Linked DNA regions of Arabidopsis thaliana. The protein of the gene in region 3 binds, or shares a complex with, the protein of the main gene of each other region. Each region holds a gene or a part of one and is shown on either strand. Other genes may lie near its edges.

Region 1 (5,977 bases), on a different chromosome or scaffold from region 3:
AAATACCCTACTAAGTCTCTCATCTATCTTCACTATCTTTTGTGATAAGAAATTCTATTATCAATTCCTATCATTTGTTAAGAAAAAGAGTTAGAAGTATTAATAATCTTACAATATTTATAGATAAGATAACAACAATATGAAGCATTCTCACGTTTTGCTTCTTCTATTTGTTCAAGTCATTGTCCTTTTGCCTCTCCTTTGTCTATCCGACGATTTTGTTAACTCTAGAGCTACTTATTATGGCAGCCCCGATTGCAAAGCAAATCCTCGTACGTATTAAAATTGTTATTGCTATATACATCGTGTACCTTAATTCTTTTTCATTTTCTTAGTTGTTGTATAGACTTGTACACGTTATATATTGGTAAAAGATACATTGGTGTAATATCTCACTATAAGCCATAACTAATTATTTTTGTTTTATATCTACGTATAGGTTTCTTGTTTTGTTTTATTTTGAAGGTTTATTCAAATTCTAAATACATATATGATTGAAAACGAGTCCACTAAGTGTCCATTAACTGCGTAATTAGTAATGATAACTTTCCATTATGAGAATATACATAATATTTGTCGAAAGAATAAGAATAATTAATTAATTTTTTGATGATGCAGGGGGACATTGTGGGTATGGAGAATTTGGAAGAGATATCAATAACGGTGAAGTGAGTGGTGTTTCATGGCGACTATGGAACAATGGAACTGGCTGTGGTGCTTGTTACCAGGTTATTATATATAGTTATCTACTTATCTCAATCAATATTTCATCAAATATTATTATAGTATATGCTATGTCATTAATTACTAAACTTATATTATGAAAGAAAAAAAAACTTATTTTATGAATTATAAAAAGGTGAGGTGCAAGATACCACCACACTGCAGTGAGGAAGGAGTATACGTAGTGGCTACGGACTCCGGAGAAGGAGATGGCACGGACTTCATCTTAAGCCCTAAGGCGTACGGACGTATGGCGCGACCCGGCACAGAAAATCAGCTCTACTCCTTCGGTGTAGTCAACGTTGAGTACCAAAGGATCCCTTGCCGATACGCAGGGTATAATCTGGTGTATAAGATCCATGAGAAAAGCTACAATCCTCATTATCTTGCCATCCTTGTCTTGTACGTTGGTGGTGTTAATGACATCCTCGCCGTTGAAGTCTGGCAGGTAAATTTAATCAAAGATGTTGAGAAACTTAGATATATGTTTTTGAGGATCAAAATATATAGTTTACTCTTAGATGATTTTGTGAAACAAAGTTAAACGTTATTATATGGTATGCATGTATATGTATGATTTTAGGAGGATTGCAAAGAGTGGAGACGTATGAGAAGAGTGTTTGGAGCGGTTCATGATTTGCAGAATCCACCTAGAGGCACTCTCACATTGAGGTTCTTAGTCTACGGAAGCGCAGGAATCAATTGGATCCAATCGCCAAACGCTATTCCCGCTGATTGGACTGCCGGAGCCACCTACGACTCCAACATTCTACTTACTTAATTGATTCACTTTTCATCAGTGTGTTTTTATCATATAGTATTTATTATGGTTTCTGTATGCAATGGCTAATATATTTAAATAATGCCCTCTAGGACAATATAATTAATGATGATAATATAAATAATCGTAGTAGATTCATATATAATTTATGTATTGTGTCTCACTAAGAAGATTGTAATGGTTTGTATGAGTTTGATTTTGATGGAATAAATCAGTACTAATCAATTTATCAGATGATGATCAAACGTTTCGTAAGCTTTTTTTGTTTACATTTTGGTCAGTCAAGCATATATCTCTCCCTAATCAACCATTTTCATGAAAACAAATTGGCGCGATTTTTGTTATATAGATAGGCCCATTAGTAGTATTCACAAGGCCCATTAAAACTTAATTTATCTTGGCCATCCTCTTCGATCGATTTCGTCAGTTTTCTTTGATTCTGGGTAGTAAATAATCGGGATCAATTGTAGAAGAGCTCATCGAGAAAAGAGAGAACCTAAACTTTAAATTCAATTCTGTATTGTTCTCAAACTCGAACCCGAAACTTTAAATCCTTCCTTATTTGTTTTCTGGAGTTCTTGTTTAGAACTGTTTTGGATTTGTTTTTTTTGAGGAGATGCTTTAGTTAACTAGGTTTGCTTCGAGCTGATCGCTGTGTGGCATAAACCCTAATTTCGTGGAAACTGTGCTCTTTTAGAACCGGTCCAGTGAGTAAGGGAATCCAATTGGTGAAGATGCCGCAAGTTAAGATCATTGCTAAAAATTTCATGGACATGGTGGCGTCACTTCCAGCCATCAAGCTTGACAAACTCTACAACAATGTCTTTATCTGCGAAGCCATTCTCAGGTTAATTTATGTGTCTATGTTGTTGAATTTTGAAAAAATTGAGGATCTTACATTCTTAAGATGGTGTCAGGTCTTTGCCGCCTCTTGCCAAGAAGTATGTATTGCAGATGTTGTACATTGATGTTCCTGTACCTGCTACGATGATGGAGGAGTGGGTGCTCGCAGATGGCACCTCTAAACATAGAGTTGCTATTGATCGACTGATTCAATTAAGGATTTTTTCAGAAATTAGTGATAGGTATGCATTCTTGCTTTATTCTTGATACTGTCATGATTTGACTTATTTCAGTTAGTTCAATACTTCTGTCTATTCACGTTGGAGGGTTTATTTGATATATTTATTTAAAAGAGTGATGGTGGATGTTAACTTGAGCATTGAACCCTATGAGCTTCATCTTATACTTCAATTTACTGTGTTTGGATTGATTATGATTGTATGTGGCAAGATGATAGTTCAGATTTAGTTCTTAAGCTGCTCTTCGTACTTTTGCAGGAAAAGGGGAACCAGCTACAGCCTAAATCCTACATTTCAGAACAATCTTCAGAAACATATTATTTCCGGGTAAAGACATCTTTACATTGACGGTACTCTCCTTTTTCGTTTTTTCTCTAGGCTTTTGGAGAAGATGCTGATGAGCTAAATTTGAATTTTGCAGTGGAGTTTTGCCTAGAGAGCCTATGAACTCCGACAATGCCATTAAACTTCCAAGCCTACAAGAACTCGAAACCTATGCACTTAAGCAATGGGAGGTGTGTGTATTTCCTAATTTCTTATTGATAATACTAGTAAGGTGGAAGTAATTTGTAAAACAAATATCTTTTAATATGAACTTGGTTAGTATCTGATGATGTGTACTTATGTTTGTCAGTGTTTCTTGCTACAACTTATAAATTCGGGTCAAGGTGAAAAACTAACTGGCATCAGTTCATCCATGATGAAAATTTTTCAGCGAGGTTTATTGAGTCAGAGGTAATGTTTTCATACACGTCTATAGATGCATAGTGGTGGCATATAGCCTCCCTATTTGATACACTTCATGTAATATTGCAGAGACAAAGATGGCCCGAGATTAACTGAGAGTGGCTTTCAGTTTTTGGTATGCAAATCGTGAGTCAGTGGTCTATAATTACCTGTATTCATGTAAGTAACCTGATTGACCTCAATTTTCAGCTGATGGATACAAATGCCCAGCTTTGGTACATTATTCGAGAATACATATTGAATGCCGAGGTTTGTATTATTCCTAAGGTTTTGTGAAATTGATATCTCTATTTCGCCGAATGGATAACCCAATGCCAGTGTTTCTCAGGAGCGAGATGTAGATCCAGCAGACTTGATTTCGTTTTTGTTGGAGCTTAGTTTTCATGTTACTGGTCAGGTATAACAGAACTTCACAAAAAAGTCATTTCAAGCGTTCTTGTTCTTGTTTTTACTCTTACTTGATTTAGCGGGATGCTTGTTAATTATTTCGGTGAGCTTACACATTGCAGGCATATAACTTAAATACCTTGACAGAGGTTCAAAACAATACCCTCAAGGACCTTGCAGACTTGGGATTAGTCAAGCTTCAACAGGTTAGACTTAGACCATTTGTAATATTTTTTTTATTACCAAATATCAAAAGAAAAAAAACTTTGCTAAAGTTATGATTATAGAACTATATCACATGCTGAGCCAGTCTTTATGATTATTGAAGGGAAGGAAAGACAGTTGGTTTATTCCTACTAAACTGGCTACAAATTTATCAGTCAGTCTGGCAGATTCATCAGCGCGAAAAGAGGTCACACCTTTTTTATTCCCCTCTTGTCCCATATCTACCTGCTACCAACAATTTTCTTGATTTTGTGTATCGCTGTTGTTTGTTGTTCCTCATCAGGGATTTGTCGTGATGGAAACAAACTTCAGAATGTATGCGTACTCCACATCTAAGTTACAGTGTGAAATTTTACGACTATTTGCGAGGTAGAAGCTCCTGAACATCGACCTGAAACTTTACTCTTCTGTGTCTTAAAATCCTTTAGGTCTAAGTAGTTGGTGCTTCATTATTTCCAGGATAGAGTACCAACTTCCAAACCTTATTGCTTGTGCCATTACAAAGGAAAGTTTGTACAATGCATTTGACAATGGCATCACATCAGATCAGGTACAGTTGGTTTCAGTTGAAAAACATTTTGAAGTTATCGAATACATGATTTTGCCCGGATCCTCACTGTCCTTGAAATGTTGATCAAATTGTTGATGCGTCTCTTTATAGTTTCTGAATAAATATTTTTTCCTTTTCTTTTGATTGTCACAGATTATAACTTTCCTCCAGCAGAATTCTCATCCACGATGTGCTGATCGAGTCCCATCTATTCCAGAAAATGTCACTGATCAGGTTTATACTCTCTATGCCCATCAAGTGTCGATTATACAAAAATGTGTATAGGATTGGTTTATAGAATTGAAAGTGTATACTATCTCTACGTCCTGATTCATCAGGCTTATGTTGAATAAAAATGCATTGTTCTGGCAGATTCGGCTTTGGGAGACAGATCTGCAGAGAATTGAGATGACCCAGGCTCACTTCTATGATGAATTTCCTTCAAAAGTAACAAACCTGAACCCTCTTATTATTTTCTCTTCTCCATAACGCAAAACCGTTATAGTAAATCTCATTAACCAAAATCATGTTAGCAGGATGTGTTTGAGGCAGCTTGTGACTTTGCTCGGGAATGGAGAGGCCTTCTTTGGGAAGACTCTAAGAGAATGCGACTTGTTGTGAAATCCGAAGTTCACAATCAGATGCGTGAGTTTCTTCATACCCAAAGCAGGTAACAAGAAGAAACTCACATTTTCTTCTCGTATTAAAACAAAACATCATGCTTCGATTCTACAAACTATGTCTTTCGTGAGGTTTCAGCAGAAAGAGAAAAAAGAGTAGCCATTTGATGTCTTGTTACTCTATTAGTTACCATCGTTTTTATCCTGCTAACACATGCGCACCCCAAACGTAGGAAAAGTACTTGGTGTTGGTACCCACGAAGTTGAAAGTTGAAACCTTTAAGCTGTAAGACCGATCCATTGTAAATCACAATATACTTTATTAGGCGAAGTTAAGTTTGAAACAACATATATTGACAAAACGTGGTCGTTGGGGATGGTCCAACCAGGGTCACCTCTATAATTTCTTGTACGCTAGACAGAACACAATCTCGGTTTTGATTCTATTCAGTTGACCAAATTTCAAAATTATTAAAACCTCAGCAAATGCGAGGCTACAATCTCAGTTTAATCAACTAAGAGGATGTATTCAGAGACGCTGAATCTATTCTGTGTCAACATGAAGACAAGATCTGACTTCATTTTGCTTGAGATTTTTCGTTGGCTGAGGACTCTGAATCCTGGATCTTATCTCCCATGTTTGCATCTGTAGTCACATTTGCATTTCCACGTGCCCGAGCGAGTTTCTCAGCTTCTTCAATCTTTCGTATAGCTTCCTGTTGTGTTGCGTTCATCATTGTCCCCATCGTTTTCTTCTCTCCTTCGAGCTGAATTTCCATTATGGTACTAGCATGCTTGTCTATCGGTTTGAAGTAGTCTTCAATTTGAGCCTCCTGTATTGGTAAAAGACCCAAAACATACT
Region 2 (4,695 bases), about 19 Mb from region 3:
AACACGCCGTTAATCGTCTCGCCGAGAAATCTCCGGCCACTGGCAAAAAGCTTCCATCTTCTCCGCCGGATCCACCGGAAATTCAACCTGACGTTCTTCCGGAGATTCTACGCCATTCTCTTCCTTCCAAAATATATGGTCGTCCTCCTGATCCTTCGTCTCTCTCCCAATTCTCCAAATGGGCTCTTGAATCTGACCCGAACGCAACAGTTTCTATATCCCCTGATGTCTTGAATCCTCTCAGAGGTTATGTGTCTCTGCCACAAGTCACTTTCGGCCGTAGAAGGTTCAAATTAGGGTTTTATACTCTGTTTCACTTGATGAGTATTTCAAAATTTTGGATTTGTTGTTAATTTGTGTCGATTTTTATTGCAGATGGGATTTACCGGAATCTGAGAATTCGGTTTTGGCGTCAACAGCTAATGAATTGAGGAGAGACAGATACGGCACTCCTGTAAATCCTGAGAAATTGAAAGCTGCTGGTGAAGGGCTTCAACATAGTATGATCACTTCTCTTCTTTTGTTTATCTGCAAATCAAATCTTTTTGAACGTGGATAATTGGATTTATGGATACAGTTACCTACAGAGGAACATGACTAGATTTGGGTTGTTTGCTAGAGATAGAAGGATTGCTATCTTTACGTGTTCTGTTTTCACTTCCTTGCTTTTGTTAATGTTGATCATGTAAATTGCTTGCCCAAACTTGTCTATTTTACCTTGTTAGGGACTGCAATGGCAGTAATTCTGAAAGGTTTCAGCTTACTAGAGAAAACTTTGGTTTGTTTGGTTATGAAAGCCAAGATTTTCCGTGGCTGAGGGTTCATGAGTGTCTAATGTAACAACTGCTTTCTGGTTGTCTCTTTTTGACTCTGATGACAAATAATCTAAGTATCTCTCTCACAGCCTAGAAATTGTTGATAATATTGCTTAGATTGAGATTCTGTTATTGTCTTTTGTCTTTTAATGTTAATTGATGTCGTGAAGTGTTCGGAAAGTTTGCCTAATCTCGAGCCCTCTGATTTTTCTGGTTTCTGCAGTTGGAAAAGCATTTGCAGCCGCTACTATTATCATCTTTGGTTCAGCCACTTTGGTTTTTGGAACGGCAGCCTCGAAACTTGACATGCGTAATGTAAGATTGCATATGTTTCCATTTTCTTACTTAAATCATTTAGATTAGCATTTCTAAGCATTATTGACTGATCTTGAATGCCATCATCGCCTTACTTGGTTTTATTGTATGATTTTCGTTCTGTTAGGCTGATGACATAAGAACGAAAGGCAAAGATCTTTTTCAGCCAAAACTGGAGTCGATGAAGGAACAAGTAGAGCCCTTAAGAACTTGGGTAATGTTTTACAAAGATACTTGCATCTTCTCAACTGAAGTGGATCATAATCATTAATAGACTAACCCGAAAAGACCATAAATTTCAGGCTGAAAACATGTCGAAGAAGTGGCATATTGAGAATGAAGGTGGTAATACTATCAAGGAGAAACCAATCTTGAAGGAGCTTTCGAAAATTCTGGGACCTAAATCTTAAAAGGCCAAGACCTTTGGTTAATGTGTAACCATGTGGATAGAGAAAGTCAAAGAAGAAGTTCTATATGTTTGTAAGATTCAATAAGATCTTAGGTAAATTATCATATTGTGCTGTAAGAACTAAGAAGTTTCAATGTTGCTGTATAAAGGTTGTATCGAGTGATTTAAGTTTTGTATAATAAAGTTTTTATGAGTTTCAATATCAATGTTTCCTATTGTGTAAGCAAAATAAAATGTTTCACTTCTGATTGGACATGGATTGGTGGGTTAAATATACAGAATAGGAAGTTACAGTCAAAATTGTGAACGTTATAATAAGTAAGGGTTGTTTATGTAAATTTTGGCTTCAGTAGAGTTCTCTTCTTCTTTTTGTAATTAGGTCTCTTAGACGGTGAGGTTAACGATGAGTAATCAAAGAAAGAGATCAAACGATGAAAGAGAAGAAGAGGACGACGAAGATGCGGAAGGTATCGGCGAGTGGGAGAGAGCTTATGTTGACGACCGATCCTGGGAGGAGTTGCAAGAGGATGAGTCTGGACTTTTACGGCCAATTGATAACAGTGCCATTTACCATGCTCAGTATCGCCGCCGTCTTCGTATGCTCTCCGCCGCTGCTGCTGGTACTCGTATCCAAAAGGGACTTATTCGATATCTCTACATCGTCATTGACTTCTCTCGGGTAAATATTTTTCTTTGCAATCCGCCGCTGCTGCTGCTGATTTTGTGATTTTTAGCTTCAATGCCGTTTCCTTTGAGTTTGATGGCGTGAAATTGAGCTTATGTTGCTTTCATCAGAGCTTATATAAAAGAGAAACTATGCACTTTGGGTCACTGATAAGTAACTTTAATGTAATCGTCGTTCTAGTTTTGGAGATCTCTGCTCTTTAGTCTTCTCAATAGGTTCTATAATTGGCTCTGTATTGTTTGCAATGATAATCTTACTCTAAGTGGGTTTGTAGAGCTTAAGGATGTGATCCTTATTCAGATTCTTTATTGAAGGCAACATTATGATTTGGGTTCAAATTTCTCTAGTTCCAAGGTATGCAAAGTCTTACACTTTGGACTGTTTTGTCGTGTCTAGGCAGCTGCGGAAATGGATTTCAGACCAAGCCGGATGGCTATAATGGCCAAACATGTCGAAGCTTTCATTAGAGAGTTCTTTGACCAGAATCCTCTGAGTCAAATTGGGTTGGTCTCTATAAAAAATGGAGTTGCGCATACATTAACAGATCTTGGTGGTAGTCCTGAGACTCACATCAAAGCGTTGATGGGGAAGTTGGAAGCTTTGGGTGACTCCTCTTTGCAGAACGCTCTGGAACTTGTACATGAGCATCTCAACCAGGTTCCATCTTATGGTCACCGCGAGGTTCTGATATTGTACTCAGCTTTATGCACATGTGATCCAGGCGATATCATGGAGACCATTCAAAAATGCAAGAAATCCAAATTAAGATGTTCTGTAATTGGGCTCTCTGCAGAAATGTTCATATGTAAACACCTCTGCCAGGAAACTGGCGGATTGTATTCAGTTGCAGTGGACGAGGTGAGTTTAGCTACCTTCTACTTACACTTGGACCTTTGAAAAACTTGTTTTGTATGGTATAACATTGTGCTTTGTGTGTATTTGTCTTTTCACGCAGGTGCATCTAAAGGATCTTCTGCTTGAACATGCGCCTCCACCTCCGGCAATAGCAGAATTTGCAATTGCAAATTTGATCAAGATGGGTTTCCCACAAAGAGCTGCTGAGGGTTCAATGGCGATTTGTTCGTGTCATAAGGAAGTTAAGATTGGAGCTGGTTACATGTGCCCAAGATGCAAAGCTCGGGTATGTGACCTCCCTACGGAATGCACTATCTGCGGTCTAACACTTGTTTCTTCGCCGCATTTGGCGAGATCATACCATCATCTCTTCCCGATTGCTCCATTTGATGAGGTGCCTGCACTTTCAAGTCTGAATGATAATCGGAGAAAATTGGGAAAGAGTTGTTTTGGTTGCCAACAGAGCCTAATTGGTGCAGGTAACTACTTGAACACCATTTTATAGAGTCTTAATACTGTTGGTTGAATAACCATTTGGTCACTAGACCAGTAGTTGAACTTAAGATACGGTTCACCCTTGTCATAGTATATACAAAGTAACCGATCCATTCACTCAAATATAAAGGCTCATTGGTGCTTTTGTTTTTTGCTTAGGGAATAAACCCGTCCCATGCGTAACATGTCGTAAATGCAAGCACTATTTCTGTCTGGACTGTGACATATACATCCACGAGAGCTTACACAACTGTCCTGGCTGTGAGAGCATTCACCGTCCCAAATCAGTTTCTTTGATGGAAGAATGAGAGAATGAATGTGTTCACACTTCCAATTATAAATCACAATTGAGATGATGAGAGGAAGCAATTTTTTTTGTGATATAGGATGTTGTAATTGGTCTTATGTCCTTAACCAAAATCTTTCTTCTTTTGTGGACTCTATTGCTCTCTCACAATTGATCCAAAACAAACCGACTCAAATTTTCAGAGATAGCATTCTTAATTGTTTGATTTTCTATTTAACTTGGGCTTGAAATTTCTTCACTCATGAGAAAACGAACAGTAGTAATAAAGAATTATTTCGGTGGTAAACAAAAGGAGACCGTATCATCAGTTGTTTGTTGATACTGTCATGACAAGGTCGCAACTACTTCCCTAAATATCTCTCTGTTTGTTAGAAGCTTTTATATTAGATCTAAGTGAAACAATTCTTAGTGATTGTCATAAGTAAACAACGTACTTAATCTTTGAGAAAAGTCCCTAACACCACCATGAAGGAAGAAGATACTAACGTCACTAGGTTCTGCAAGGCAACGTCTGCGTGTAAAGATGCAGCATTCTACTACCTTGAAGGATTCGACTGGAATCTCGAAGACGCCATCTCTGGTTTCCTCGGTGATCAACTTCCTCCGCTCAAAATAAGAGCGACTCCACGGAGGGTGAATGAATGGCGAGAGCGATCTCGATCTCCTTTAAGAAGAAGATACTCTACTACCTCTGTCTCGGAATTTACGCTGAAGATGCGCCAAGATGAGATAACCATAACGAAAAGCTCTGATACGGGTGCTTTGGCCACCAGGTGGGTGATTTAATAATATTAAGGGCTCGGTAATCCAAATC
Region 3 (7,644 bases):
AGAGAAAGAACTATCAGAAATAAACGTACTCGACATGCCACTTGATGCTTGCCAAGCTTTTCTCAGTTATATCTACGGCAATATCCAAAACGAAGACTTTCTTATACACAGATTGGCACTCCTCCAAGCAGCTGAGAAATATGATATTGCTGATTTAAAAGAGGCGTGCCACTTGAGTCTTCTAGACGATATCGACACAAAGAATGTGCTTGAGAGGCTACAGAATGCTTATCTCTATCAATTACCTGAACTGAAGGCTAGCTGCATGAGATATCTTGTGAAGTTTGGCAAAATATTTGAGATCCGAGACGAGTTCAACATATTCATGCAATGCGCAGACAGAGATTTGATTTCTGAAATCTTCCACGAAGTCCTCAGTACCTGGAAAGGATTTTAGGGGAAATCAGAAAGGGTATGTGTGCTATAATTATACAAAATACATTTATGGACACTGATTTTTTGTGCAAAAGGATTTGTTGGTCTTTATGTACAGATTAAAGTATTGGGGGTTTTAACTCAAAACCCAAGTATTGTCCTTACAAGGATAAGACAGCAACATGTAAATTCATGATTTGATTGAATGTGAGCTTCTTAGCTTGAACTTTGAATTGTTAATCTATAACACTAATATAGTTTTCTGAACTTTTAAAGTAAAATCTACAATCATCTTTTAGCAATTTTACCCGATTCATGATACTAAAGTTATACCAAGCTAAAAAGCTAAACATACATATCCTCCCATGATCTGTAATCTTCCCTAGTTTATTGTAATGGTGACAGATGTTAAAACATATCATGCTACAAGCAAATTCAACAGGAATGGTTCAGTAGTTTCAGAGAATCAACCAACTAGTTTCTTAGCTAATATGAAAAATTCAAAACAGAGGAATATATACATTCTTCTACTCTAAGACTAGAATCTGTGCTACATACCAATGTGAGTACTACATGGTTTACAGAAACCAAATCTCCGGAAAAAAAAAAATCAGAAAACAACTCCCTGAAACTGAATCAATAGCTACATAAGCGATTTCAGATCGTCTTCAATGGAAACAAAATCAGACTCTAAGACCTCTGAGATCCGCCACAATGCCGGAAAACTAAGAGGAAATTACATAGAAACGAACTCGAATCAGGAAATCTCTGTGACTGCCAAATAATCAGAAACTAGAATGTCGCACGAATCTGATATATGGAATGGATGGTGTTCATGCGTAGGAAAAATCAAAGTGAAAAAGAAGAATCAGACAAGTAAACCGATATGGGTCTAATAGAATCGCAAAATGAAAACGACGAAAACAACAAAATGGAATTTCCTTGCAGAAGAAACTTACCTTCGACAGCTACCTATCACCACCACCATCGCCTTCTTCATCTTCGAATCTGAGATTCGCTTCATCTCTTCCTCCAATTTTGAAGAGAGGGAATATTGTTCTTCATAAGATGCTGGAAAATGAAGATTTTTTTTCAATTATTTTTTCCCGGCAAACGAACTACGTCAATAATGGGCCTTATTAGTGGCCCAAAATATTAAAGACGTCGTTTCATTCTGTAATAAATAGATCCCTAATCAAAAAAACCTCCCAAATTTCGAACTCAAAACTCTTTCTACGTCTACCTTCTTCTTCTTCAGCCGTCGACATCCTCTAGTAAGCCAGCTACTCTTTTCTTCTTCTGTACAGTAATCAGCTTCAATTCTATAGAGCTTTCAAAAAAAATCTATCGTTTGAAGCTTTATCTGGTTTGTGGTCTTTTTTTGTCGATGTCAATTTAGTTGATAAATGCACAAATATGTATCTTTTCTTCTTTTCTGTGTCTATCCTCATTATTGATTTATACTAGAGATTACAGAATTTGGTACATATTGATTATAGTCGTGAGACTATCATAATTTAAGGTGTTGTATGCTATTTTACAGGTTTGAATTTAGTCATTGAAGGTGTTAAAGTCCATGGCAGAGTCTATTCAATCCGCAACTGAAACCGAGCCTATGACGGTTAAGCCATTGAACTTTGAAGGCTCATGAAATGTCTGATGGGAAAGTTCAGTTTAGAGAAGTAGCCGTTCCACCGAACCGGTACTCTCCTCTCAAGAAAGCTTGGTCGGATATCTACACACCGGTCTTTGATCAGATGAAAATCGACATAAGGATGAATCTTACATTTTGATGCCCCTAATTAGTTTTGACTTTTTGTTCATTTTATCACATGACCAATCATAATGGGCCGTAGCAGTTTAATTCGGGTCAGTAAGTTGGGTCATGATTCGGGTCGGATACTTATTCCCGTTCTATAGTATAAACCTAGATTCCAATTTCGCTTGATTTCCGATGAATTGATCGACTGGAAAACAGAGAACCACCGTTTCTACAGTTGGATATGGCTGGTGGGCAAATAGAGAAGCTAGTCAAATACAAGAGCACTGTCAAGGATCCAGGAACTCCTGGATTTCTCAGAATTGTATGAAGATTACACTTTTCGCTCTTATTTGAGTTATATTATCTCTCAGCTTAACTGTTTCTTTTGCAAAATCGAAAAATTTGCAGAGAGAAGGGATGTTGCTCTTCGTCCCTAATGATCCCAAATCAGATTCTAAGCTCAAAGTACTTACTCAGAACATCAAAAGTATTGTTTGTACCTTTTCTCATTAACATTGCTTATTGGATAATAGATGTTGTGTTGATAAACGATTTCAGTTATGATGATAGCTGCATAGTCATTATCAAATTTCACTGTGTTTGTTCAATCTCTCAGGTCAAAAATATACCAAAGAAGGATCAAATAAACCTCCTTGGCTCAATCTCACCAACAAGCAGGTTTTTTCTGTTGACATTTTTTGATTAAAGCTATGATACATTATAGATATGTGAATTTTGAAGCTATATCTCTGTGTTCATTGAGGTTTCCTCATCCTTGATTGTAGGCAAAGAGTCATATCTTTGAGTTTGAAAATTATCCCGACATGCATGCTTGCCGTGATTTCATCAGTAACCTCCATGTCCCTTGGTTTGCTTTTATTGATTGGGAAAGTATTTCTCTTGTTTTCTTTCGTGGTGTTTCTGTAACCTCTTTTTTACTATAAACAGCTAAGGCCCTTGCTAAATGTGAATTGGAGCCTAATAAATCCGTTGTCTCGACATCTTCCGAGCAACTCAGTATTAAGGAATTGGAGCTGCGCTTCAAGCTTCTGAGAGAAAATAGGTATGTAATTGGAACATTAAGTTGCCTTTTTGGGTTCAAAGTTTCATTGGCTCATCAAGTTCCTTCTAATATGAGTAACATACGTGATTTAAAGTGAGCTGCAGAGATTGCATAAGCAATTTGTGGAAAGTAAAGTACTGACTGAAGATGAATTCTGGGCTACAAGAAAGGTTGGTTCTTTGTTTGATTTTTTTAAAAATTTTGTTCTCTTCAATGTCTTCATAGTTACCGACTTTATTCTGGCTGCAGAAATTACTTGGTAAAGATTCCATCAGAAAGTCAAAACAGCAGCTCGGGCTTAAGAGCATGATGGTTTCTGGCATCAAACCATCTACTGATGGGCGGGTATGGTATAGTTATCTCAACTCCTTTCTGGCAGTTAGTACAGCCAATTTAGTTAGCATTTTCATGTGCCTGCTTTTGTAGGAAAGAAACAATGCATCTATATGACCATACACTGATGTGTTCGACTGAATTACATTCATATGTTGATATATATCATATTATCATGTGACATCTCTGCTGGTTTACTAACCACTTTCTTCATTTTTCTTCTTTCAGACTAATAGAGTGACGTTTAACTTGACACCTGAGATAATTTTTCAGGTGAGCTCTTTGGTTCACTATGTTTGTCATTAGTGTAACTGCTCTATCAGTTTCTGAATCCCTCCAAGGTCGTCATCATAAGTTTTTTATATGTTATGGGGTTGAAGTTGCAGCTAGTGATATATTGGGTCAGAAATCCATTGTTAGGTGTTCAGGTTGCATCATGTGCTTGAACTTCTAGTCCAATCTGAAACTACAAATGAGGAATATAAACTTTTTTAACAGTCTTTCACCCACATTCTATCTTGTGCTTGCTTAGCCAGTAAATCCATTGCAAGTAACTTAAATGTTACTTTCGTAACTGCTACAGTCCTTTTCTTACTTATGTTTTCTTCATTACGCTTTCAGATTTTTGCTGAGAAGCCAGCTGTTCGGCAGGCATTCATCAATTATGTTCCGAGTAAGGTAACAAAGACCAGCTCACTGTGACCATCTTTGTTTATAAGGTTAACCCTCAAATACGACGAATCTTAACTGGCTTTGGTAGTTATTTTCCTACGCCAGATGACAGAAAAAGACTTCTGGACAAAATATTTTAGAGCAGAATATCTTTACAGCACCAAAAATACAGCAGTAGCTGCAGCAGAAGCTGCTGAGGACGAGGAACTCGCTGTCTTTCTGAAGCCTGATGAGATATTGGCTCGGGAAACTCGTCACAAGGTTAGGTTTCTTCTATGGTTTAATCATTTATCATATATTTTGTTTGAAAAGAAAATATTTGTGGCATATCCATCTGATTTAAATGTCATCTCTGTAGATTAGACGGGTTGATCCAACTCTTGACATGGAGGCTGACCAGGGAGACGACTACACTCATCTTATGGTAAGTCAACTACCACTGCATGTGAAAGGTTTGGATAATTTCCAAATTGCGCAACAATGGTTGTTGAAAGGAAAGTTCAATGCTCAGTTAACACTGTACAGATTCACACATAGAATAAGTCTTTCATCGAGGTTTGTAGTGTTGATGTTTACGTATTGTCTATCCCTAGTAGAAATAGTATGGGAAGAACTGGGATAATACTAACGGTGTTAAGAATCAAACCTGTACCAATGTGTGTCACTTGTTTCTTTCTTCTAGAATTCTCAGCGAACCTAATTTGAATTGTTAAATCAGGAATTTAGTTTCTTTCAAATAACTCTGAATTAGTGCTTTTGCTTTTTCACAAGACCACTACTTTAATATTAGCATGTGTGAGAAGGAGCTCAAAACTGATATCTAGAAAATATTAATCTTAACATTGACATTGTGCTCTTTGTATGCGGTTGAAACGTTATTTTCAATACACTTTATCGTACTTAATATAACTTTCCCATAACACAGGACCACGGGATCCAGCGTGATGGCACCATGGATGTTGTTGAACCACAAAATGATCAGTTTAAACGATCACTTTTGCAAGATCTTAATCGTCATGCTGCTGTTGTATTGGAAGGCAGAAGCATTGGTAAACACCTCTAAGAACCTCATTTGAATCTTTTTATCTGAATATTTTATAACAGTAGATAGTTCAGGAAGTGTAAACATTTATGTTGGCCTTTTGACTTTAGTTCTTGGTGGTAAATATACAATAATATTCCTGTAATTGGAAAGCAGATGTTGAGTCAGAAGATACAAGGATTGTTGCAGAGGCTCTCACACGGGTTAAACAAGGTATGATGTTTCATTCTGCTAAACAATGCCACGCTTTTTATTCATCTGACCTTGCTATCCATCTCTATTTTACACCCCTGTTAGTAAGCAAAGCTGATGGTGAAACCACCAAGGACGCTAATCAGGAGAGATTGGAAAGAATGTCCCGGGTAGCAGGAATGGAGGATCTTCAAGCACCACAAAATTTCCCATTGGCGCCGCTTTCTATCAAGGTTTGGCTTTCTGCCAATATAAGGTTTTCACAATTGATGATGGATGCTGCGTTAATCCGCTTACCCTTTCTTCTTTGGAATCAGGATCCTCGTGATTACTTTGAATCTCAACAAGGAAACGTCCTCAATGTACCCAGAGGAGCAAAGGGCTTGAAGAGAAATGTCCATGAAGCTTATGGATTACTAAAGGAATCCATTTTAGAGATTAGAGCTACAGGATTAAGTGATCCGTTGATTAAGCCTGAAGTTTCTTTCGAGGTGCTATTCTGTCACATAATAAAAAGTGTGCTGACAAAAGAAATCATTACTTATTGCTTTGTTGCCTGAGCTAAAAATTGCTAACCCTATTCAGGTTTTCAGTTCGTTAACCCGAACCATTGCAACTGCTAAAAATATTAATGGGAAGAACCCACGAGAGAGCTTTCTGGACAGATTACCAAAGTCCACTAAGGATGAAGTTCTACACGTAAGTCCGACATTTTCCAGTGTCCTAAGTGACAAGAAGCTCTATATGTACTAGTTAGTGAAGATTAGGTAGTAATGCATATGGATAAGAGGACTTTTCTTCTTTCATCTACAGCATTGGACATCAATACAAGAATTACTGAAACATTTTTGGTCATCTTATCCGATAACAACCACATATCTTCATACCAAGGTAATGTTATTGCAATTTTCAAATCTCCCAGTCCCAGAAATTGCTATATATATTGATTCCTAGGCTTTCACGGGAAATTTAATCTTATTATACACCAAGAGCAAGTTATTATACCAAATATTTTTCGTCGATTCTTGTGATGTTATATTATTATCATGCAGGTTGGTAAACTGAAGGATGCAATGTCCAATACATATTCAAAACTTGAGGTAAGCTTTGAAATTCTTCATCTTTCTGACAGAATAAGCAACTGATAGTAAATCTGCTATGTTAAAACAGTAGTTCCTAATCATACCAATGCGTTTACGAAAATGAAATTTTTGGGTAAATAAAATTGATGCAGTATTGTAGTCGAATCTTATTTGCATATATATGGTCAACTGTACGGTTTCCTTGATATTAAACTCCATGTAACTCAGGCAATGAAAGAGTCGGTGCAATCTGATCTCCGGCATCAGGTTTCTCTACTGGTTCGTCCAATGCAACAGGTTAGCTTCTTCCAATATCTACGGAAGAGTTTTATACTTTTATTACATCATGTCTCGGTTAAGTCTATATTTTCCACTCATATTGCATCTATATCCAGTTTCTACAGCCTTGCATTGTAATCCGGTTTGAAAATTGATCTTAATCGGTTTTCTCTGCTAGGCTCTTGACGCTGCGTTCCATCACTACGAAGTGGATCTGCAGAGAAGAACAGCTAAGAGCGGCGAAAGACCAAACGGCTACGTATAGAGGACAAAAAAACTAAAACTAAAAAGCTTTGCAAGATCTTTGAATTGTTTCATCAGCCTTGGTTGGTGTTTTTGAAAATCTTCATTTGTCCCTTTTTGTCCGACCATTGAGATACAAAAATGCGTTTATATTGTAGTAATATTTTCTTTTCTTTTTTTTGTTAATTAGGCGTTATATTGTTAACTGCGAGAGACAACAAAGAGATTTTCTCGATCTGAACATTTTTAAGTTTGCAATGTATTAGTAAATTCTCTACAGGCTTTGAGGACGTTACTACAGCTCCAAGAAAGCTCTCAGTGCCATAATTGTTTGGTTATTTGGTTACTGGTGAATATTTATAATAATGGGACAATAATAGAGAAAATGCTTCGATGGCGTAGTAGATTTCAATGTTTGAATCGCATCAAACAACAATCCAAATTAGAAATATATAAAATTCAACATAAAACTTTTTTTGACATAGCATTCATGGATAACTTTTGATTTGAATGATTAATTTACTCATTGTGAGGAAAAAAATAAAAACAGATAAAGTTACTCATTGCTTGTCATATTGACATGACATACAAAATTCAAGCT

Evidence for each region.
Region 1: AT1G55750 (region 3) and AT4G17020 share a complex: the UniProt entries of both Arabidopsis thaliana proteins name them as parts of the 7-subunit TFIIH core complex.
Region 2: AT1G55750 (region 3) and GTF2H2 share a complex: the UniProt entries of both Arabidopsis thaliana proteins name them as parts of the 7-subunit TFIIH core complex.

Annotation. Positions count from the first base shown.
Region 1 is NC_003075.7:9,577,344-9,583,320, reverse strand, and holds AT4G17020 (transcription factor-like protein), read left to right. Parts: upstream 1-1,881; 5' UTR 1,882-2,238; coding exon 2,239-2,351; intron 2,352-2,421; coding exon 2,422-2,589; intron 2,590-2,844; coding exon 2,845-2,913; intron 2,914-3,007; coding exon 3,008-3,101; intron 3,102-3,220; coding exon 3,221-3,321; intron 3,322-3,402; coding exon 3,403-3,448; intron 3,449-3,522; coding exon 3,523-3,582; intron 3,583-3,661; coding exon 3,662-3,730; intron 3,731-3,842; coding exon 3,843-3,926; intron 3,927-4,048; coding exon 4,049-4,132; intron 4,133-4,228; coding exon 4,229-4,314; intron 4,315-4,404; coding exon 4,405-4,495; intron 4,496-4,648; coding exon 4,649-4,729; intron 4,730-4,867; coding exon 4,868-4,942; intron 4,943-5,031; coding exon 5,032-5,165; coding exon of another isoform or gene 5,166-5,169; exon of another isoform or gene 5,170-5,254; coding exon 5,255-5,348; coding exon of another isoform or gene 5,349-5,382; 3' UTR 5,383-5,446; downstream 5,447-5,977. Other genes in the region: EXLB1 (expansin-like B1), read left to right, coding at 140-272, 619-728, 860-1,171, 1,307-1,504; AT4G17010 (transcription factor IIIB), read right to left, coding at 5,694-5,948. UniProt on the Arabidopsis thaliana protein: Component of the general transcription and DNA repair factor IIH (TFIIH) core complex, which is involved in general and transcription-coupled nucleotide excision repair (NER) of damaged DNA and, when complexed to CAK, in RNA transcription by RNA polymerase II.
Region 2 is NC_003070.9:1,448,100-1,452,794, reverse strand, and holds GTF2H2 (general transcription factor II H2), read left to right. Parts: upstream 1-1,893; 5' UTR 1,894-1,942; coding exon 1,943-2,218; intron 2,219-2,620; coding exon 2,621-3,082; intron 3,083-3,179; coding exon 3,180-3,558; intron 3,559-3,733; coding exon 3,734-3,882; 3' UTR 3,883-4,164; downstream 4,165-4,695. Other genes in the region: AT1G05060 (coiled-coil protein), read left to right, coding at 1-286, 376-500, 1,039-1,130, 1,258-1,344, 1,433-1,540; AT1G05040 (UBA-like domain protein), read left to right, coding at 4,347-4,654. UniProt on the Arabidopsis thaliana protein: Component of the general transcription and DNA repair factor IIH (TFIIH) core complex, which is involved in general and transcription-coupled nucleotide excision repair (NER) of damaged DNA and, when complexed to CAK, in RNA transcription by RNA polymerase II.
Region 3 is NC_003070.9:20,839,870-20,847,513, reverse strand, and holds AT1G55750 (BSD domain (BTF2-like transcription factors, Synapse-associated proteins and DOS2-like proteins)), read left to right. Parts: upstream 1-1,614; 5' UTR 1,615-1,649; intron 1,650-1,918; 5' UTR 1,919-2,378; coding exon 2,379-2,459; intron 2,460-2,545; coding exon 2,546-2,624; intron 2,625-2,753; coding exon 2,754-2,815; intron 2,816-2,922; coding exon 2,923-2,986; intron 2,987-3,085; coding exon 3,086-3,200; intron 3,201-3,294; coding exon 3,295-3,370; intron 3,371-3,449; coding exon 3,450-3,545; intron 3,546-3,761; coding exon 3,762-3,806; intron 3,807-4,154; coding exon 4,155-4,211; intron 4,212-4,310; coding exon 4,311-4,466; intron 4,467-4,563; coding exon 4,564-4,629; intron 4,630-5,130; coding exon 5,131-5,254; intron 5,255-5,403; coding exon 5,404-5,460; intron 5,461-5,544; coding exon 5,545-5,672; intron 5,673-5,756; coding exon 5,757-5,930; intron 5,931-6,024; coding exon 6,025-6,138; coding exon of another isoform or gene 6,139-6,192; exon of another isoform or gene 6,193-6,252; coding exon 6,253-6,330; coding exon of another isoform or gene 6,331-6,393; exon of another isoform or gene 6,394-6,491; and 7 more. Other genes in the region: AT1G55760 (BTB/POZ domain-containing protein), read left to right, coding at 1-397; AT1G55755 (uncharacterized protein), read right to left, coding at 246-381, 1,348-1,399. UniProt on the Arabidopsis thaliana protein: Component of the general transcription and DNA repair factor IIH (TFIIH) core complex, which is involved in general and transcription-coupled nucleotide excision repair (NER) of damaged DNA and, when complexed to CAK, in RNA transcription by RNA polymerase II.